Linked DNA regions of Schizosaccharomyces pombe. The gene in region 2 interacts genetically with the main gene of each other region. Each region holds a gene or a part of one and is shown on either strand. Other genes may lie near its edges.

Evidence for each region.
Region 1: mutations in SPOM_SPBC2A9.03 (region 2) and psu2 together harm fitness more than expected from each alone (negative genetic interaction), as found in Schizosaccharomyces pombe (one large-scale study listed by BioGRID).

What each region holds. Positions count from the first base shown.
Region 1 is NC_003423.3:3,465,502-3,469,736, reverse strand, and holds psu2 (beta-glucosidase Psu2), read left to right. Parts: upstream 1-1,919; 5' UTR 1,920-2,207; coding exon 2,208-3,167; 3' UTR 3,168-3,467; downstream 3,468-4,235. Other genes in the region: cullin 1 adaptor protein Pop1, read right to left, coding at 1-394; mpi1 (mannose-6-phosphate isomerase), read right to left, coding at 3,585-4,235.
Region 2 is NC_003423.3:2,948,984-2,953,289, reverse strand, and holds SPOM_SPBC2A9.03 (WD repeat-containing protein), read right to left. Parts: upstream 2,213-4,306; 5' UTR 2,131-2,212; coding exon 2,094-2,130; exon of another isoform or gene 2,037-2,093; coding exon 793-2,036; 3' UTR 734-792; downstream 1-733. Other genes in the region: san1 (RING finger protein), read left to right, coding at 1-474; SPOM_SPBC2A9.02 (NAD-dependent epimerase/dehydratase family protein), read right to left, coding at 3,755-4,306.

The DNA.
Region 1 (4,235 bases), 520 kb from region 2:
GACTAGAGTTACGGCGTTTAAGGCACTTTTCGCGATGCTCTGACGGCAGCTCACAACTCAAATGGGGCCGGTTAAGATCACAATGTAGATATAAAAGATTTTGCAAGTTTTCCAAATTTTCTTTATCAGATAAACATCGATTGTTAGTAAATATCATCGATTGCTGACTTCCCTTGCTATCAAATTGTAGACTAACACGACTAAGCTCCTCGGGAATTCTGGTCATTATATTATTTCCTTCCAGGAGATCTTTTTTAGTGGAACATGGAGAAAATCTCTCGACATTTGGCCGGGGAGAAGAGGAAACATCAATACTCGGTGATACCATAGTTGTCTCACCGAAAAATTCATTGGAATCTAAAACAGATAGGCTATCTTTTTTCTTCTCATTCATTTCAAGTAGTTTACAGACACTTAGTAGAAAAGTATTTGTCAAGTTCTTTTATGATGTTAGAGAACCTGGTTCAAGAATCGATACTGATGAATTTACTTAAAACAACTGCCCGTTGGGAAACATGTATATGAAATTATTTTGCAAATAGTTATCGTCTTAATGCATTAGAGCAATACTTTTTCTTGGTTTTTTTGAAGTTCAGCGAGATAGATCGTAAAGACCATAAACTCTTGGCAATGAATTTTAAATTCACTCTACGCAAGCGGAGGTGTAAGTAACACCAGAATAAGTAACAATTTTACTGTTGATTAAGAAAAGTTTTTATAGTTTATGGTAAATACGACTAAATCGCGACATAACAATAGTTCAATAAGAAAAGTTATATGACTTAGTTATGGCTCCTCAATATTATTTTTTTTTACATTATTTGCGATAGTGTTTTAATTGTATACCAGATATTAACCTCCTCAGCATTTTCAAATAAATTCTCTAAAGACAAAAACAATGAACACGTGAAGTATTCATATTATAAAATTGTCTTTTCCGTTGCGTTTTTGCAGCTAAAGAATGCAGACACAATAGTAGCTCGCGAATTTCATTACACGCCAATAAAGTTGGGAAAGAGATTACCCTCCCCTGTCATATTCTAAATGACACGGACACATATAATAATTTATTAATAAAATTTGAGCATGAGCGTAAAATGTAAAATGTCAGACTAAGATGGCGTTTCTAGTACATCATTTTCTTAGGCCGTTGAAAGAAATTTTTTGTCTCGTCAATGACATGCATCGGGTAATTTCGGCAGGCATTGGGCTATTATTCGACTTCTCTCCATTCAAAATTTGACTTAATCTCAGTATCCAAAGAAGCGTCAAATACGCTACCAAGATAAATAATTAAATTGTTATCCGTAAAAGTTCTTAGCATAGCAAACCGATAAACCGAGTGTAAACACGATATTAATTAATTAATATTATATCATATTTAATGAGCTGCAGAACATCATTTGCCGAAATGCACCGAGCCTCTTATATCTAGGATGATTTGTATGTACCAGATTACTTTCCCAAGAGATTATTAAATATATTTAATAGTATTAGGAGAAAATCAATATAACGTTGAGTCGAGCCAACGTATTTGTAAGTTAGGTATACAGGGATGTCATTAGGCTTACGTACACCGCGCAATTCAATTGCAAAAGGCCCAGGGGACCAAGAACTTCCTTATGATAAGAAAGCTAAAGCGATAAACAAAAATTAAATTACTTGGCTTGGAAATAATAATAATTTGCTTTGAAATGAATGATTGAACGCCCCGCGACCCCGGGACAGTATAAATTTTCCTGGGGTAGATCAAATTCACGCATTTAATTGGTTGAATTTATCAACTGACTTTTAAGTTCATTTTTAATTAAGTTATCAGCCAATGAATACAAAGCCGATAGCAAGGCAAGCAATGATTGGAGCGCAATAGTTGACTGTTTTGGCGCTAATTATTTCGGGTTTATGGTTAGAAATTTTCTGAAAAAATCAACGTTGAAAACTTACAGGCTTTCATGGTTAATTAGTGGCAAAACGCCACGGCTCTTAATCAAAAGATGGTGAAGTGCTTGAAAAAAGAAATGTATATAAAGCTGAGCTGATTTTTAGGGAAAAGCCGTGAGCTGAAATTAAACAATCAGAACCGCAAAAGGTAAAGACCATTATATTCTTTACCATCTTTCTTTTATTTTCTAGTATCAAGTTACTAGCATATCCTATCGTTTATAAAGTCAATCGTTAGATTCCTGTCAAATCTTTTAAATCTAAAAATGCTCTTTAACAACTTTCTTTGTTTTGCGGTTTCCGCCATTCCTTTGGTTTCAGCTATGCCTCTTGGTAATGCTCCCTATCACCATCACCATCATGCCGGTTTGAATGCTAGCAATATAACTGTTGGTGTCAATGTCACAAACACTACCGCTTTTTCAAAAAGAGACGGTGGTTTTCCTGACGGCGTATACGACTGCTCCTCTTTTCCTGATGATCAAAATGGCGTTGTCCGCCTTGATTACTTAGGTTTTGGAGGATGGTCTGGTGTTCAGAAGAATGATGGTAAATACGGAACAGCTTCTACATGCCAAGATAACACATACTGTTCCTATGCATGCAAGCCCGGAATGTCTAAGACCCAATGGCCGTCTGAGCAGCCTGACAATGGCGTTTCCGTTGGTGGTTTGTATTGCAAGAACGGTAAATTATATCTCACCCAGAAGGATAATTCTAATCTTTGTGAAGATGGAAAGGGTACTGCCTATGTTAAAAATACATTGAGTTCCAATGTCGCAATTTGCCGTACCGATTACCCCGGAACTGAGAACATGAATATCCCTACCAATATTGATGGTGGTTCAAAACAACCTCTTTCTGATGTTGATGAAGATTCATACTATAATTGGGGAGGAAAGAAGACATCCGCTCAATACTATGTTAATAAATCTGGCAGAAGTGCAGAAGATGTCTGTGTTTGGGGTAATGAGGGCGATGATTATGGCAATTGGGCTCCTATGAACTTCGGGTCTGGTTACACTGACGGCAAGACTTGGCTTTCTATGTCTTTCAATCCTTTATCATCTGCTAAACTTGATTACAATATCCGTATTAAATCTGATGGTGGGTCCCTTAGTGGTGATTGCTACTATGAAGACGGATCATTCCATGGTTCCACCGCTGACAGCAGTGGTTGTACAGTCTCTGTCACCGGAGGCAATGCCTACTTTGAGTTGTACTAAATTGCGTGTTAAAAGTGGATGCTTGGTCAAAAAAATTTGTTTATTAGAATTATTTTTGCATTCGTTTTACTTTTGTCATTCCCATTTTTATGCTTTATTTCGTTGTTGATTAGTTTTCGCATTTTTTTTCTGGTTTCATTTTTTTTATTTTTTTCATTTTTTTCATTTTTCTTCTGGATTCATTTTTTATTTTATTTTTGGGGTTCATCTTCTTCATTTCATTTTTTTGTCTATATTTCTTCTCTACATTTTGTTACATTTCTTAAAAACGCTCATTATTTATGCATTGCATCTACGAAAAAATAAATTTGTTTTTACTTAATTTTGTCCATCCTATCCAGTATCGTTAAAAATTTAAAAATTCCATGTATTGTTTTATTATAATGGTGCTGATAGTAGTAAAAAGCTGCAGAGTAACTAAATCTCACAGAATGCCTGGTAAACGACAACAGGTTCTGAAGTCGCAGAGATCGTTAATGGAAAATTTGCGGAAATAAAATAAACAAATCCAGGAGATATCGATGCTACATCTCCTTTGTCTCCATTCAATATGCCTGAACCCTCAGTAACAAGTAAAATGCTAGGGCCATTGATTCCGCGTATGCATTGTTTTTGACCAGGAGAAACCTTGGTTTGCAAAATGCTAAACTCTTCGATCGGGGGATCATATAACAGAGTTTTGCCAGATCCACAAGCTTTGGCAAATGGTACAGGTTGGGTAAGTTGGGATTTGGCATCCGCAGTCTGATAAGTGAGATTATTTACGAGAGTTTCTATGTCCTTAAACTTTGGCGTAAAGCCAAGACGGATAACGTTATCACTGGCAGCCATGCACTCAATTATATTTCCAGAAACATAAGCATGTGGATCTAAGGCACGAAGAAAAACGGCTTCTCCTGGATGTAATCGAACGTAGTTAAGAAAAGGAGTAACAAATAATCCGATGTCATCCGGAAATTGACTATTGAGATGAATAATTAAATCGCTAAATGCTTTTCCGCCGTATTCCGTTCCACCAAAGTTGTTAGCATCACTTTTTGCTAGTTGAACAAGCTGAGGAGTAAATTC
Region 2 (4,306 bases):
AATGTTGACACTGCCGGGCGACAACCTTCCGATGAGATAAATATTCCTGGCGAATACGAAAACTCGAGTGAAGTTGCAGGATCACGAAATCAAACTCCTACCCATTCTTCCATTGCTGTAGACACCTTGAGTAATGTTGCGGTAGACCAGCCTGCGATATCCACTCCGTCGGACGTTGTTGGTAGTGATGCCGGTGATACTAGCAAGGTTTCGTCGGGAACTAGCACTCCTCGAATGGCTGCTCCGATTGCTAGACGATCAAATCGGCATCATCCGTATAGCAGACCTAGCTCAACGCGTCCTCAGTGTCAGCTTGAGGATCAAGGCATTTGTGATCCTAATGATAGATTTGTGCACTTCGAATGCGGTCATTCAGTACATGAAAGATGCCAGCAATCTACTAGCAACTCCGAAAATCAAATGGACGAAGAAATTGGAGAATGCCCAAAATGTCGTAATGAAGAGCATAAGTAATGTTTGTGTTTTTTTACTCTTTTGTTATCTTTATCATGAAAAATATAGTTGTTTGTTTATTATGCCTTTTTAAATCTTCAATACAAATTTGGTGATGTCCCTTTAGAGTATCAATATTTCATGCTATATAGATTTTTATTGTTTTTGTATTATTTATATCTCAATACTTATCATCTATATTATTTGCTCTCCTATAAACTAAATGATTATTTGACTATTACAAAAAATCTCATTATTTTTTTCAACGTTCATTAATAGTTTTGTTTGGTACCAAGGAATTTATTATTATAAGATTAAATGACTCAATGAGTTAAAGAATTAAAATATGAAAGATAGCGGATGTTGTAAAGGTCTCCTAAATTCTAAAATGCCACCCAACATGGGATCGTCTACACCAATAAATAAACTGTCGCCAGAAGATGAGTAAGCGGTTCCGGCGATTTCTCCAAAAAAGTCAATAACTTGGGATGTATTAAATAATTTAGTATCAAAAAGTTGAACAAAATCGGCTTGTTCCGTGACAGCTAAGCTTTCACCTAATGGAGAAAAGCACAAATTCGTCACAGCACTCATTTGGCTACCTAGATTTCGAAACGACTTACCAAGGGCACGTATGTCCCAAACTTTAGCCGTTGTATCTTGTCCTCCAGTAGCCAAAATATTTCCATTTGGATGCCACGAACCAGTAAGTACAGAGTCGGAATGGGGAAGTTTGGCTGAAACGGAATTTGATCTAATATCTATTAACATGGCGTCTTTCGAATCCGTGCATACAAGCGCTAATGGAGTTTCATCAAAAAGTTGGACGCAGTTAACAGCATTTGAACACCTGTAAACAAGAATGGGGCTAGTACGCTGGACATCTTCCACATAAACAGCACCATCATTACAGCCAAGGATGAATTTTTTTTCGGAAAAAAGTTGAATATGATTAATCGAATCATCTGAAAGCTTACGAGTACTAAAACTTCCGTTTTTAAAATTGAAAATACAATATTGTCCATACAATGTTCCCAGACATCCTACGGCATTTGTAGTATCCAAACATGATATCGCTTTTTTCTGAAGGATATTATTCTTAAGGTCAATGATTTGAACAGAATTATCATGCAATGTGTTTTCCATTCTGATGCTGTTATTGCTCACATAAATGACAGAATGCTCACCAACCACCTTTACGCTTTTGCAAAGATGGTGATGATTCCGCAAGCAATTAGGATTTTTCAAAAATCTTTGAAATTCATAAAACGAGTCTTCAGCGGCGACTTGTACAGTATCTAGCGATAGCTCTTCGGGTGACCAGTCTGAATGATTGCAAGACAGGCTATAAGTGTGTAATCGATAAAGACGAAAGTTTTTCCGTTTACCAATTGCTTTATTTCCCCAGGGAATTCCTTGAAAATCCACTGTCCCACAATTATCGGTGCTTTTTGGGTTCAATTCAAAATTTGATGCAGTGGGGAATCCATAGTGGTCTAACTGAATTAAATTCCGGTTTCCTGTATACCAAGAAGTGTAAAAATAATCATCTAGATAATCTTGAAGTATAGCTCCACTTTCAGCTAGTTTTAGCATTAGCTTTCAGAGCAACCAACGGACTGCACGTTTAATTTACTTACGAAGCAAATACTGGTCTATAAATTCTCCATTGGACATATAGAAATATTTAATTTAAAATAAATATTATCTGTATGGCTGTAGAACAAAAAGGAAATCAAATAAAAAATTAGAGAAGGACAAGATCGCCTCATGGAAGAAATGAGAGAAGGACAATCGACGTTGCAAGGACCAATTGACTCTTTCGCTAACGATTTTCGGCAATTAATCTTAAAGATTTTATACGTATGAACCTAAGTGAAAACAAAATAAGCATAAAGAGGTCTTTAGCTCAAAGGTATAAAATTATCATAAACAGAGGCGTAACCAAAATTGCAAAGCCAATTTCGTTTGTCAATGGACGAAAACCTCCAATTGATCTTTCTAAGTTTTAAAAATCACCAATGTTGATCGTTTTGAATTTAAACAAATATACATACTTAAAGAGGTACGGCCAAAACATTAACCATTATGCTGAAGCATCACTGAAAAGAAAAGCTCGCTAATTATTTTGGATTTATTTAAGGTTTTTTGAAGAGAATGAAATCCTTCAGAATATAGAGAACGAAGTTGATTCACGAAGCCGAAGGTGGACGTCTCCATTGAGTAATATGTACGAGAAACACTTGCAATCTAAATCTACATTGCAACTCTATCAATTTCCAAAACGATCCTGATTTAGGGTAGATGTCTTGGTTTGCTATCGGCTGGGCTCGTTTCTCTATAGGATTTTACTTTTCTGGTTTTACCATTCTATATAAAATTAAGACTAGGATGTTAACAGACTTAATTTAATCCATACGATTAGTCTTTAAGTAATGTTACCTCAAATTAAAAGCATTCCATTCAAAATTTATATTATTGTTGCTTATTGTAAAACTAACACCCAAGAATTCGCATTTAAATTGGTCCCTTTTGGAAAAAGGATAAATAGTTTTTCATAAATCAAAAGCTTTTTGAAGCAATTACAAAGATTGCCCTCCCACAGGTCGGTAATCGTAATTTGAAATTACAGAAGAACGTTTTACTATAACCTTTTTAAATATATAAAAAAAAGCAAATAAAGTAATTCTAATAAACAATATTATGCCTACGAGCACACTAGACGAAAACAGCAGTTTCTGTCCGACCACTGTATTTGAGGTCGAAGGGTTTTACGTTAGTTCGGTACTACAGAGCTTCTTTTCCTATTAATTTCCTATCTCATAGTGACAACTATAATTTTCACTGTACTTTGTGGATTTGAAGGTTCATTGTCATCAATATTTGTCAAATCACGTTTATAGCCAACACAACACCATTAGTATCAAAAGTGGGATTTTGCAAAGCGAACAAAAAGAGCAAGATTTACAATTTTCAAAAAAAAAGTGAGAAACTCGCATTTTTGGCTAGAGTTTATTAGTGGCCTAGTATATTCACGCGTCTGTAATGTTTCAAATGGATAATAATTCATCTATAAACCAAAATCAAATCAAAACGTAAAGCAACTCCAACACAAATATTAGCATATTCTCTAAATTGATGTTTAAACAATCAATCAATATAGGACTTCTGTCTACAAATATAGTAATATATTTTGCAAGCAAAAATGCTCCAATATTGACAAAAGCATAAAGGCACAAACTCCTCCTTTCGAATGAACTTAGCAATCATTATTGAGTTGACATTATTCTTCCATCTGAGCTTAAAAGTACGCATCACTGGCCAAATCAGTCATTAGTGTAGAATGCGTAGGCTTCCAACCTAAACGTTGCTGCGTAAGAATACTTGAAGTTGGATTATCAACAGACAAAAAGCTGGAAAGAAATCCAAAATGTTCGGTGGCTTCTTCAGAAGATACGGAGATGACAGGTATATCAAGTCGTTTGCCAATCATGCCTGCGATTTCTTTGATCGGAATACCTTCTTCGGCAACAGCATGATAAATGGAACCAGCAGTTTCTTTTTCTAGAGCTAATACAAACAAATTAGCAGCATCAGTTCTATGAACGGCAGGCCAACAATTCATACCATTACCGATATAAGCAGAAACACCTTTATTTTTGGCCACGTTAATGAGCATGGGCACAAATGCGTGATCTCCTGCTCCATGAACGGTAGGTGGAAGGCGAAGGATTGAAGCACGTACTCCTTGAGATGCAAATTTAAGAGTTGTCACCTCTCCTAATTGGCGTGGAATTGGTGGTTGGGGAACTTCACTTATCTCGGTGCCTAACTTACCGTTGGAAGAAAGCAC